Drosophila melanogaster: one gene and its partner. The protein of the gene in region 1 interacts with the protein of each later gene in a pairwise test. Each region holds a gene or a part of one and is shown in the gene's direction. Other genes may lie near its edges.

Region 1 (4,604 bases):
TAATGGGCGTACAGGAATCGCTGGAAGAATTGCAAGTCTCTGAGGATCAGATATCTTTCGACGGGGTTCCAAGCGAAGAAGAATCTTCGCTAGCCAAACGAACCAAAAAAAACAAAAAGGCAAGGAAGTCAGCTGTCAAGCAAGCGCAGGCGGAAGGCAGTGACGAACCAGATGAGCCAATAGAAAAGAAGGCAATCAAGAGCGAGTCAGAGGATGAAGACTGGAGTAAAGGCAAAAAAGCGAGCAAAAAGAGTAAAAGCAAAAAGACGACGACTAGGAAGGTTAAGCTATTAGAGCAAACTGTTTCGGAACCGAATACAAAGGAGGCAACAGTGGCTCCCAAAAGCGGAGATGAGGACCTCGACCCGACCAAGTCGCAACACACTTGTGTTACCTGTAGGCTTGTCTTTGACTCCAAGAACAAGCTGTTTGCCCACCTAAAGAAGACGAACCATGGTGTCTACATACCTAAGGCAAAGCCTAATGTTGAGGGCAAGCCTCCTGGCAAAGCTAAGGGCAAGCGCAACAAGTAGGGTCGTATAGATATCCACCCACACCTTGTATCTATACTGTAGAATGTTAAAAGTTTATTTATGCTAATGATAAATTTAATTCGAGAATGAAGTTAAGTATGCTCGCTCCAAGTCAGATAGTGTTCTTATTGTATTCAAAGGCAGCTACGGAATACAGACCAGTTTACTGCCCGCCTCCACGCGTCTGCGAACTCGAGTTCGCATATTGGAAGACTCTGCCTTTAGGCTTATACCGGCGGCAGTAAATGTTAGGAGTACCCCAATGATTCCGCAGTAGAATGAAACTCCTGTAAGGATTAAGTTTAGTAAGTTTCTAAGAAAAGTTTCAAAGAATTACCTATGCTACAGTCGGCGGGGTAAAAGGGTTCGGCATCCATGCCGCATAGACGTTGAATCCGGTTCGCTCGCCATCCCATCGGATGCAGAAATAGACCCAACATCATACATATTCCTATAAACAATGCAAACTTAAATGCTGCGAGGATATCACAGTAATGGTTGCTTACCTGCTACGACCTGGGCGCAGGCCGTCATGTTGTGTATGCTCTTGCCACAGGCCGACTGGCGGCAGCAGGTGATCAGGGTCAGGATCACCGTTACAGAGAGTAGACTAAATCCCAGCATGACGAAGAACATTGCCGCTTTCCATTCGTTGGGGTAAACGCTACTGTCCGTGGCCAGTCCGTCCAAGTCGAAGCGGCCGCATTGGAATCCGCCCTCCTGCATGACCTTGCAGCGCGTGTAGATGCCCACCGAGGATTGGTGGTGAGAGCTGGCGGTGGAGTCTGTTCCTTGGGCGGGGCCCACCAGCCACCTGGGCGTGACCAGGGCCACAGCAAAGAGCATGTCGGCCACCAGCGAACAGAGGAACCACACCAGACTGGCGATGGTGATAATAACGTAGCACATTTTGATGCACCAGATTTTTCGGAGTACACAGATTTAGCGATCGACGACGGGCGATCGCAACGCGTCAGCACTTGCCGGATAGATAATAGACTCTAAGCGCTCTTACTTTGTCTGGGCACGCACATCCCACACCCACTTTGCCGTCACCCACCACCACCGTCGCACCACTCGCCACCACCAGCAGCGCGGGGCCAGACCAGAACTTCCTCCCAGCTGACCAGCCCGAAATGGAATTGTTTATTTTATGTTTTCGCCGCTCGCTGTTATGCGGTGCCTTTCTGCCGTCTGTTTTATGTTATTCACCCCACACTCACACGCGAGCGGAGGTTGACTGTGGGATAGGGGGAGCACGAGGGCGAGGGCGAGGCGGTAGACCGCGCAGTCCGCGGCTCTGTCAAGAACAAAATTCGCAGCTGACGTCGAAGCGAAGGGAAATAGAGTCTAGCGGGAAAATAACTCTGCCTCGATGGCGTTTTCGCTAATCCCCCAAGCGGCTGCAGCTATTTGGCAACTTTATTCCACACTCTGGAACTTTGGATCTGAGCTTCTGTTCGCGCAGGCGTGTCTGCTGCCGTTCCTCGCCAGCGTCATCTCTCGCCGACTCCGACCGACCGAATGAATGGAGCCCATTAAAGCCAGCTGCAGTCGCAAACGGAGCCAGGCCCCAATCGGAGCACTGGAAGAAAAGGTTTGGTGCATCAAATCGTAATAATCGAGTTCTAAGTTGGTTTATGCGTTACGTATTTATCGTATAAATTTAAATCAGCCGGAAGAATTTAAGAAACTGAATGACTATGTTTGGTAAGAATGTTTACTTAGAGGAAATAATTAATATAAAATATTGTAATTTAATGAGGAATTTTTTTCGAATGTATTTTGTATATTTTTAAATGTTGATGTTTTCAGTGCCTTATGCAGATGTGGGCGCCGATTTCTCATTGAGAGCGTGGAAATCCAGACATTCCGAATTCAGAATCAGTCCTCGAATAGCTCTCCCTGGCTCTCTGCACACGCGTTCGAGTTGGATCCAATCTGTCGACTCCACCACCACCAACCCCACCATTGCCTCCACCCCCGTTCGGGTGAGTAATGCACGCCGCCGCTTCGATTCGGGCTGATCATGTGCAATTCCGATCGAAACGATCTTCGGTCGAGCGGTTATCAGTTGGCCGAGTGTGTTGGGGGCCATTGCGTCATCCGCACTGTGTTTGTGCACAGTGATCGTGACCGAGGCCGTAATGAGATCCGTACACAAAGTGCGCAGCCTCCGGAAAGCACTTTCACTCTCCCTTTCGTTGCCTGAACCAATCCGCGGCTCATCACTTGCCATTAGCCGAGATGTCGCGCCGGATGGTCTTCCTACAGTTGCTGCTGTGGGCAGTAGTAGAGGGTCACTATTACTACGACTACGGCTACTGGGAGATCAACGAGCCTTCACAGCTTTGCTCCGACTACGAAATGCTGGTGGTCAACACCCGCCAGTGCGTAAGGCGCTGCAACATCGTCTGCCTGAATGGAGTGTGCTTCGAGGACGGATCCTGTCCCTGTGCCGATCAGTATATGGCGGGTAATCCGGATGGTTTGGTGTGTGCCGCAGAGTGCCTCCCCGGGTGCGTGGCGGCAGGTGGCTACTGCGCCGCACCAGATCTCTGTGTGTGCCGTGAGGACAGGCACTACTACTTTGATCCCCTCTCCCAAAAGTGCCGCCACAGGGCTCCCCGTCTGCTGGACCCCTGCCTTGGGTGAGTATGATTCTTGCTCCTCACCTTATCGCTTAGGAAGTGTACATACATACGTATGCGTTTATGTGCCCTTTCTCATTTCCAGGCGCTGCACACATGGCAACTGCTCCTCCGACGGACGGTGCATCTGTGCCCAGGGATACGAGCTAAGGGACAGCCTGCTTCATGGACAGCAATGCATGCCAATCTGTGATCAGTAAGTTTGATTGTCGCTATATCTTTTCGCCACACTTGCCCTAAACTGTACCTCCAGCAACTGCGGACCACGAGCTTACTGCTTCGCTCCTAACTTGTGTGCCTGCCGGCACAAACAGCACCATTATGCTCACAACGGCATCTGCTCCGGGAACTATTGACCTAGAGAGGAGGTTTGACAGCAATGGGGCTGTTTTAGGTCCCGCTGATGTCGTATGGATTTTAATATATGTATTTATTGTTTAGGTTCATGATTATTTATGAATTAAGCTACAAGACTATGTTACTCTTTTTATTGATTTAAAATTTTTATGGAAAGGCAATCTTGTCTTTAGAAACTGTAAGGAATAACATAAAATATAAAAACAGCTTTAATCGCCTCATAAAGTAACCTATAATTTGTCCATATTAAAATACCAACTTCAAAAACGCATTATGCATATGTATTATATCGATTTATCTAACCTGAGGAAATATGAGAAGCACTAACTTTATTGAGTGCTTACCCTTTCATAATGAATGGGCAACAATATACAATATGTAGTTACGCTTGATAGTTCGTATTGAGTCCGAAAACTAAAATGCCTTACCTTTCGCAGGGCACAATTCAGAGAGCGCAGTGAGATTTTGATTTTAAAGAGCGCATGTCAACTGGTTTGGTTTTGGTGTTGTTGTTGCCGCACCCCCTCCCCCACCTATCAACCAATCAATTACAAAGAGACTTTGTTATTGTTTATAACAAATCGGACACATGGAAGTGCAGAATATTACAATATACAGTATACGATTTCCGATCCCCACCGATCAGCAGAGAAACTGAAGAAGACATGCGTACGTGTTCTCCAGAGGCGTCGCCAGCGAACTAAAATGCTGCTAGGGGGGGGTATCATAGAGGGAGCGTGGATCTCAAGAGGGACTTCTGTGCTCAGATGTTATTAGGCCATTGATAATGCCCGAATTTTAGAGTGTTTGTGCTTGCGGGGCCTATAATATTTCGGGTATTTCAACTAACCCACACCCCCCCCCAGAGGATATTTCTTAGATAAAGACCAGTCGGCAGAACCGTCATTTTTAGCTTTGCGCGTGTGGCGTGTTATTGTTTTACTTGTTGTTGTTCCACTAGAGGCGGGCCTCTTGGTCTTGACGACAAGGCACACTGGGCAGAGTCAGTAAACAGGGCAAATAATATTTTCTTCCTTTTTCCAATTTTGATGAAATTGGATAT
Region 2 (3,495 bases), on another chromosome or scaffold:
GCAGCCTCCTCTTCGACTGTAGCAATCGTCTATCCACTGCGCTGCCTTTGCTGGCGTCTTCTGCGCTGCTGTTGGCGGCGGCGCCTTTGGCGCTGTTGGCGCCTTTGGCGCTGTTGGCGCCTGCGCCGTTGGCGGGCCAAGCGACGACGACGGGCGGCGGCCCTGCGACGACGGGCGGCCGCGCTGGAGGACGACGACGAGGACGAGGACGAAGAAGTGGTGGTAGTCGTGGCAGACGAGGCCACTGTGGTGGTGTCGGAAGACGTTGAGGCTTCAGTTGTGTCGGAGGAAGAGGACGCGGTAGTGGAGGTGTCCGAGGCGCTGGTACTATCCGAGGAGCTTTCAGTGCTCGTTCCCGTAGCTTCGCAGCCCTGCTGGGCAAACAGGAGGCAGCCGAGAAGGGCCAAGAGCAGAACAAATATGAATCGCATTCTAAGCAGTTATATCTTATGATTTGGAGAATAGCCTATTTATATGATGTTGAACCCGGAAACTTGGTTGAGAAACGCGCTCATTACCGTAAATCTATTACATTATTATGTGTGTTAAGACTCAAGAGCAACGTTTAAACTATATGGCGGCACACATAATTTCTCAATCTGAATAAACATTACCAAAATTTACCTTAGTTAAAGCTAACAATCCAGCAGACCTATTAGCTTACACGCTTTTGGTAAACCACCATTATTCAAATTTGCTATAAAAACATGCGTAACGTCTCAAATGCGTCAAAGACATTCAGCATGCGCTTCTCGATCGTAATTGTTCTTTCCGTCCTAGGATGCCTCCTGCTTAGCCAGGAGGGCAGTAGCAGCACATCTACATCCTCGACGACGACCACAACCACCGACTCCTCTGCCACCACTACCACGGCTTCGTCCGCCACCACTACCACCACTGCCTCTTCCGCATCCACCACGACCACTGCCTCCTCCTCATCCTCTTCCTCTGCGGAGGCCAGGAGGCGCAGGCGCGCCCGTCGCCGTCGTCTGGCGCGTGAGAGGCAACGAAGGGAGCGCAGAAGGCAGCGCAGGACTCAGAGGCTGCGCCAGCAACTGGAGAATCAACGTCGACAGATCAACCAGCTGAGCGGATGAAGGTCTTCGGAAAGACTCGGCTTATGACAATTTAGGAAAAGCTGTTGTAAATATGTGAAAGCTAAATTCTTTCATTGTTCAAGTTCGCCAAGATAATAAAACATTTGATTGTACATTCTGATAATTCTACTTTATTGGAGCACAAAAACGTGTGGGAGTGGCATATTTAAGCGGCTTGAGGGAGTTCAACGTTCTCAACTCTCTAGCTTTTAGAGTTGCTGAGGTCGAGACATTCGTTCGGACAGACGGAGTAATAGTGATCAAGCATATACATATGTATAATTAATAGGGTCGGAAACGCCTGTTACATACTTTTCAACAAATCTAGTTTAGTCTCATTCCAGGAGTAGCCTGTTTCAAATCGAGACGAATTTTGAAATCGGTAACTGGTATAAAATTAATATAATTATACACATCTTTGTTGTGTTTGGTTTAAAAATAATGTAAACCACGTATTTGTTTTTTTGGAAAATAAATCTCTAATTTCGGAGAACTTAAATGGATATAAGCCAAAATGCAACAGCACAAAACTGTTAATTGGGTACGCAAAGCTCAAATGAAGAACAAATAAAACACCTTTAACTCGTCAAGTGCTGCGATTTTTACTCAGATAAGATGTGAATGTACATAAATAGGTTATACCAAATATTTCCTTCAGACGTGACGTGGTCGCCATACATAATTAGGCGTAAGAAGCGTTATAATATTACCTTTTTATCTCGTTTTCAACGAGTTAAACCCGGCTCACTATCAATAATATATCGATCGACTCTTTTACTCTGTTGACCTTACAAGCCCAAGACATTGACGAGCTGGATAGGCTGTGCACACATTTCCGATTTCCGATACATGATATTTGTTTAATTGTTACCCCGTATTGAGTATAAAAGGCCGTCTGATTAGATTAGATTAGACACAACAAAATGCGCTTCCTATTCGCTCTACTTCTCAGCGTGCTCCTGTGTCTGCTCCTGGCTCAGGAGGGCAGTAGCAGCACATCTACATCCTCGACGGCGACCACATCCACCGACTCCTCTGCCACCACTACCACGGCTTCATCCGCCACCACCACTACCACCACTGCCTCCTCCGCATCCACCACGACCACTGCCTCCTCTTCCTCCTCCTCGGCGGAGGCCAGGAGGCGCAGACGTGCTCGCCGTCGTCGCCTGGCTCGTGAGCGCCGTCGTCGCCAGGAGCGGAGACAGCGCCAGGAAAAGAGGAGGCGCAGGATGGAGCAGCTGCTGGTGAGGCAGCGTCGCCTGATCAATCAGCTTCAGGGATAAGTGGGGGCTTGGTCCCTTAAGATAGAATCTTCGGCCGTTCAATAGAAATATAAGCGCTGCACCAACTAATCAGATTATTAGATTGATCTCTTTCTTTGGAGGTATTTTTGAGAAGGCATGCCTGCAGCGTTGAGCAAGGTTTCGTTGTGGGCATTAGAGCATTTAAGACGTTTCCACAGGCATTCCCACGCACATCTACATATTCTATCCGACAAGCGGCGAATCCGCGCAATTCCAAGGCGGCAGACAATTGGCCCTATCCCTGGAGTTTATTATACCAGAGCTTGAGCGCTCGAAAATGCTTTTCTTGCAGCCAAGCTCAGCAGTCAGCCCGCCTGGAATCAAATCAAATAAAATATTCATTTTGGTCTTTGAACTGTGCATAAATGTGCTGCTGTTCACGAAGTGATGGAGCCACCCAAGCCCTGGATACTTAAATCTATTGGATGTGAATAAAAATTACGCTGAATGTGTGCATATATAAAGAGTGCGGTTTGGTGACGGCACGTCATCATATTCTTAGACGTTTCAAAAAGCCAAGGATAACATAGAGACTGACAGGGGGAATCGATGTTTTTTGGTCTTTTTTTTTTTTGCATAACTGCTTGAAAGCAGTTCAAGATTGGGGTTATATTCTGTTAACAATATTCGAATCCACATTTGCTTCTTTGTGCCCATTAATTGCTCAGATCAGACGCATAGAGAATGCCGCCATCTCTGAAGGCTGAAGAAATTTTTTATCGGATTTTCTCGCTACAAAATTGCATTTCAGGGAACTTCGTCCGCAGACTGGGCAGCAATTGAGGGAAACGAAAATAAGCAAAATGCCGCCAGCCAAAAGGTAAAGTACGTTAGGCTGGGCCAACCCTTATTGTTGTCATTTTCCAGATTGCCATTCTGCCATCAATGCCGATTCTAAGCACAAAACGGAGAAAAATGTGTTCTTTCCATCAGATTATTTCCTTCAGATCCGAACCCCTTTTTTAAATTGCTGTGGCATGCGAAATCTTAAAGGAGTCGTAGATTAATGCCCATTTAAACAAATCCTTCAGACATTTTGAGTAACTAAACCTGAACAAGAAAAGGAACTTGTTTTTGCACTAATTGTGGTT

The links.
Region 2: the proteins of CG15861 (region 1) and CG14454 interact in a two-hybrid assay, tested with the Drosophila melanogaster proteins (one large-scale study listed by BioGRID).

What each region holds. Positions count from the first base shown.
Region 1 is NT_033778.4:24,942,599-24,947,202, reverse strand, and holds CG15861 (uncharacterized protein), read left to right. Parts: upstream 1-2,001; 5' UTR 2,002-2,243; intron 2,244-2,348; 5' UTR 2,349-2,780; coding exon 2,781-3,184; intron 3,185-3,269; coding exon 3,270-3,380; intron 3,381-3,437; coding exon 3,438-3,540; 3' UTR 3,541-3,811; downstream 3,812-4,604. Other genes in the region: CG2790 (uncharacterized protein), read left to right, coding at 1-533; CG3770 (uncharacterized protein), read right to left, coding at 678-820, 871-984, 1,040-1,442.
Region 2 is NT_037436.4:22,691,038-22,694,532, reverse strand, and holds CG14454 (uncharacterized protein), read left to right. Parts: upstream 1-2,004; 5' UTR 2,005-2,020; coding exon 2,021-2,383; 3' UTR 2,384-2,859; downstream 2,860-3,495. Other genes in the region: CG14453 (uncharacterized protein), read right to left, coding at 30-431; CG12546 (uncharacterized protein), read left to right, coding at 744-1,097.